2 linked regions of the Bombyx mori genome follow. The protein of the gene in region 2 binds, or shares a complex with, the protein of the main gene of each other region. Links are inferred from orthologs where the notes say so. Each region holds a gene or a part of one and is shown on either strand. Other genes may lie near its edges.

Region 1 (2,421 bases), on a different chromosome or scaffold from region 2:
TTTATTTAATCAATGGAATGTGATTTTTCCAATGAAATAATTACCAATGCTAAAACATTTTTTGTGACACGATTAAAATAAAAAATTCAAGCATCTTTTTCTTGTTTATTTGGCTTTGCCGATTAAAAGAAATGCTATTATGCTTATTCTAAAACGGTTATTTATATGCCAGTTACTAGAGCACAAACACATTAAAAAAATTGTGTTGGTAACAGGCTAACTGAGCTGATTGTGATGAGACCCATTAGCAAATGAGAAATAAGGTTCTTTTAGTACCTATGAATATTTTTGATTCCTGTGAATATATTATACAGGGATTTAATGTATTTGAACCTTCATGTGTATTTTGTGAAAGAGTAAAACATATAACCCTTAATTTGGTAGTTTACAATAGGCATCATAAGTAACTTCCTAAGGATTATGTTCAAAGAAATGAACATATATCCAGGGTGTTGTCTATTCTAACAGGTATTACAGGGCATGCTATCACAAATCCTATTCAGAGAATGGAAAACCCAAGCCAGGGCTAAGATTAATTTTTATGGGTGAAAATATGTATTCTGCTTTGCGAATTAGTAAATCAAGACAAGAGACGAATACAAAATATGATATTTATTTGCCCAAATGAAACACCGATTGATAACAAAACATTTATTAACTAGTTCTAATGTACCATTGGTCCAAGTGGTTCTGCCTTGATGTTTCCGAGGTCTAATCTGCTATCAATTGACTCGTCTATTTGCCCGACTATTGCCACATTGTCTCCTCTGATTATGTGAAGTCCAAGTACTACTTGAGCGACGCCACTTGTGGAGGAAAACACTCTTTCGTGAGATTCGTCTAAAATAATATTTATTGTTTGGTCAAAGCCCTTAAGGGTGCCAATAAAATTACGTCCATCCGAAGTTATTACCGACACTGTTTGATTCACGTAATTTTCGAGTCCAGAAGCCATTCTAATTATTTTATTTATAAATTCAAATTAGTAATAATCAACATCAAACAACTATAAGAAATTTTCAAATTTCAGGGAGCTGCCACAGATTATTATTTGAAATGTGTACCTACACAGATTAGTATAATAGCTACTACAATTACTATTACTACCTACATGATTACTACATAATAAATAATAGTTTAAAAAAATAAAAAACACGCTTTATCTAAAATTCAACTAAAAAAATAGAAAATAAATTTTAATAAATTTAAATTGAATATAGTGTAAAATATATTTTATTGTAAAAAAAGCATGGGGTGCATGGTGTTATTAGTTATAAATATTTTTCTGACAGATATGAGTAGAAGAATTATTATTTCAATAATATCTTAAAAAGCACCCCACTCTTTTTTTTAAATAAAATATATTTTACACTATTTTCAATTTAAATTTATTAAAATTTATTTTAATTTTTTAGTTGAATTTTATATAAAGTGTCTTTTTTAGTTTTTTAAACTATTATGTATTTTAAATTTTCTTTAAAAGCGTATTTTTAAAACTATTAAGTACATTAACATCAATTCCTGCCTTATCGAGTATAGATAAAAATTATATAAATTGACCAAAATCTTATTTTATAAATTGAATAATGGAATAATCTTATCAAATTAGTATTTTTTTATCGGTCCTCGATAAATCTACAAAGTTTGAATGAATTCTGGCCGTTTAAAGTGGGTCAAAATCGCGTCTAAAGGAGTCAGTTGCAAACATACATACAAGTGAAGTTAATATAAAGCGTGTAAATTGGGTAGAAAAGATCTGACGGATCATATATTCACAAATTATTATGATACACCAGCAGCCAGGGAACCGGGGTAAATTACCTAAAATGAAATTTTGGGGCGTAAAAATGAAACTTTTGTGAGTAAAAAGTATATATTGAAGTGAAGCTTCTTTAGAATCGTTGTGATTTCAAATTCGATGAAACGAAATTAAACGAAACGAAAAATAAGTCCATAGAGACACAAACACATAAATATATAGGATTCAGCCGGCGAGAGAATGAGATAGAACACATTATTTGGAAACACAAAGTTCACGTGATTGACCCAGGTATTTTATTGTAGGCATCGTGTGAATTATAAAATAACAAGAAATTATCAATTACTTATATTCTCTGTGGGGGTGATTTTTTTTCCTCAACTGTATATTACAGATATTACTATTATTACCGTTATGTATTACTATGTATTACATTGATAAATTGAATAAATGATGCTTAAATTAAATTTTTAGTTTTTTCTTTTGAAAATTATCATCGGGGCTATAATATGAAAGATACTAAAAAGAAGCGATTTCATATTTTTTTTGTTCTTCGCCATGGGGTAATTACCCAACCAACCAACTTAAAAAAATATATTTTGGGGTAATAATTAAAAAAGTTCCCCGACCGCTGTGATACACTGTGCAACATATTACCGAGT
Region 2 (2,889 bases):
TGAGATAGTCTGATGGTCTGTCAACTGTGATAATCAGGATCAACATCCTGACTATGGAACTCCTCATCTCTTAGCAGCTTAGAAATTAAGTAAGTGTTCTATTCAAATGTGATAACTCTATCTGTATCAAGTTTCAAGGATCATCATTAAAATATTGCTTTTACACTGTTTTTTTTTACTCTGTTTTTTACCATTTCATTAATGGGTATTGCCATATTATACAATAGTATTATTACTTTAAGCGTTTTTTGTAAATAAATGATTTCAGTATACTTTGATTTTTTTTATATATTGACACGAATTGAATAGTGTGAAAACCAATTAAAGATATAAAACAAAAAAATGTATTTTCTTAAAATATCAAGAAATAATAAAGTTGTATCCCATTTTAGATTTAACAGAGATATGGGTAGCTTAAATATTTTATATTAATGGATTGATGAATTCATAACTACCTGTGCATCTGCAGTTTCCAAATTATTTAGATATTATTGATTTTCAATGAATTCTACATCAGGATTATGACTAATAAATAATCTTGGATTTGGTCAAATATATGGTTGCTTTGCACCAGCATGTATGGAGGAATTTTGAACTTTAAATGAAACAAAACTATTCCTTAGCCAAATAACTTAATTTATTAAAAAACTTATCTTACATTTTATTTTTATTTTTGTTCTGTGGTCGCGGGTTCCCGCCGCCACGGGCTAGTGGAGGTGCTCTGCCGCGGTTACCGAATGCGCCTCGGCTACCACCACGGCCACCGGTCCTCATGTTTTGCCCGCGTCCCTTGGAAACCTCGTTACGACCGCGCGCTTTAACCTGTGTCTCCTCCTTCACCATGTCGATGACCTCGTCCGGTATTCTCAAGTATTTGATCGTACTACCACGTATATAACATTCCGGCATCCTCCAGAACTTGTCGCCGTCTCTCGACGTGCAAATAACTTCACGTAAATTAATGTTCATCCAATTATCGCAGCTTACGAGATGACCATTGTAAGTTTCGCCATTTTTCAATTCGACAAGCATAGGGTGGTTCTGCGCTGTCCGTAACAAAGATAGCGGCAACATTTTGATGTAATGATCAACTTCGTTTTGAAGTTTATTATTTATTTGTATTAGAAGTTTATTTTCCTACTTTCGCGTTGTTTGGTGTATTGTCAACTTCTTGTTTTTTTAGGTTACTTTAGGACTTTAGGTTGACACTGACAGTGCTCAGTTGTCAGAAGACGCACAGATAATACACTTAATATTTGAGAAGAAGTGAAAATTGCTTCAATGGTAATGTAATGAAGTTTGTGAACAAGAATTTACAAGTAGACGAGTCCAACTGGAGAGTTAAGGGACAGTTCTAGTAGTAGTGAATCTTGTGATGATGATGAATAATAATAAAACAATTTACGTTGCACACCATTGTATTAGTAATAAATAATTAGAAATCTCATTCCTGGTTTCAATTTATTCTAAAGGTGAACCCGTCTACAAAAATTGCATTCAATAGGATAAATGATGAAAAAAAAGAACGTATCGAAACTGGTGTTGAAGGGTTTTGTTGCTGAACTTAATAGTTAAATGTAATGTAACTTTTTTTGTTTTAATTTGACCATACAGCTTACTGTCCATGCAACTATCAATTTCTAGTTCCATGAGAATAAATCTATGTTCGATAATCCAAAGTCAATGACTTTAGCATCCTTACTGTGAGCTGTCAAAATTATCATAAATTTTTACTTTTTGGCGGGAACGCGGGGAGTGAAGTTGTGTGATTTGTTTTATTTTGTCTATTTATTGTTTCTTCAGGTTTAACTGTATAATATCTGTGAAAGTGCACAAGTGTGGGAAATTGAAACAAATCCGCTAGACGTAGCTTGTTGGGATCGTCCAAAGAGCCAATTGAAAAGTCTTAGTAAATGTCCACCATTTTACTGAGATTATATTTCATCCTACATCATCTCATCTCATTTCATTTAATTTCATCTCACTTCATTTCATCTTCATTTCATTTCACTCTATATTATCATTTTTCGTAAAAATAAGAATTAAATAAATTAAAATAAGATTTGACCTAAAAGTTTTAGTTACTAGGTCATAAAATCCCTTAGAAAATATCCTAAATTTGAAAAAAAAAACAGAGTTCAATGCCTTTAATTTGTCGGTCAGCTGTCAATTGTCAATCCTGTGAAAAAAAATGTTTTCAATTGTTAGCCGGTCGGTAGAATAATTTTCATATTCACACGAAAATCAATTAAATAGGTAAAAAGATAATAAGTTCAAGCCCTTCAGTGAGAAATTAGGAATAGATTTCTTGTTTTGAGTCTAACGTAAGTTTGAAACTATTTCTGTACAATTATAATATTCCAAGGAGACCTCGTGTTCCAAATTTTAGTTTTTCTCTTTATTAATTAGTTAAGTTTATTAATTCTTGATTTAATTACGGTTAAAAATCGGTTACGGTTTTTGAAAATCAGATTCTTAATCGCTTATTACGATCAATTAGTTTAGTATATTTGATAAATAATACATTACCCAGTACCTACATTTTTTGAGTTTACACTTACACCTGTAAGCGTTACTTTTGTATCTTCAAATCTGGTCATCAGAGCGAGAAAAAGTATAATGGTAAAATACTATGACGTGATATTCAATAAAATAATTAAAATACCCAGAAAAATATTAAAACTGTACTTGCAGTTCAACAGTTGTAAAGATGTTTACTTCATAATAACATTGTCCATAATTAACAGAGTTACTCGTCATGCCCCAAGCACGTCGGAAGACCCCGTTCAGCGGGAAGGCCAAAAAACAACAACTGCAGTCTAAGAAGCAGAACAAGGTTTTACTCATGCCTAGTACGTATTATCACATATTCGTCCTGAATTTATACAA

What was found. The genes of interacting proteins can lie anywhere in the genome.
Region 1: U6 snRNA-associated Sm-like protein LSm4 (region 2) and U6 snRNA-associated Sm-like protein LSm8 share a complex: the UniProt entries of both Homo sapiens proteins name them as parts of the precatalytic spliceosome. The link is inferred for Bombyx mori from reciprocal best matches to the Homo sapiens genes LSM4 and LSM8.

The regions. Positions count from the first base shown.
Region 1 is NC_085112.1:10,370,810-10,373,230, reverse strand, and holds U6 snRNA-associated Sm-like protein LSm8, read right to left. Parts: upstream 1,065-2,421; 5' UTR 956-1,064; coding exon 665-955; 3' UTR 637-664; downstream 1-636. UniProt on the Homo sapiens protein: Plays a role in pre-mRNA splicing as component of the U4/U6-U5 tri-snRNP complex that is involved in spliceosome assembly, and as component of the precatalytic spliceosome (spliceosome B complex).
Region 2 is NC_085117.1:3,992,020-3,994,908, reverse strand, and holds U6 snRNA-associated Sm-like protein LSm4, read right to left. Parts: upstream 1,442-2,889; 5' UTR 1,075-1,441; coding exon 655-1,074; 3' UTR 616-654; downstream 1-615. Other genes in the region: guanine nucleotide-binding protein-like 1, read left to right, coding at 2,759-2,852. UniProt on the Homo sapiens protein: Plays a role in pre-mRNA splicing as component of the U4/U6-U5 tri-snRNP complex that is involved in spliceosome assembly, and as component of the precatalytic spliceosome (spliceosome B complex).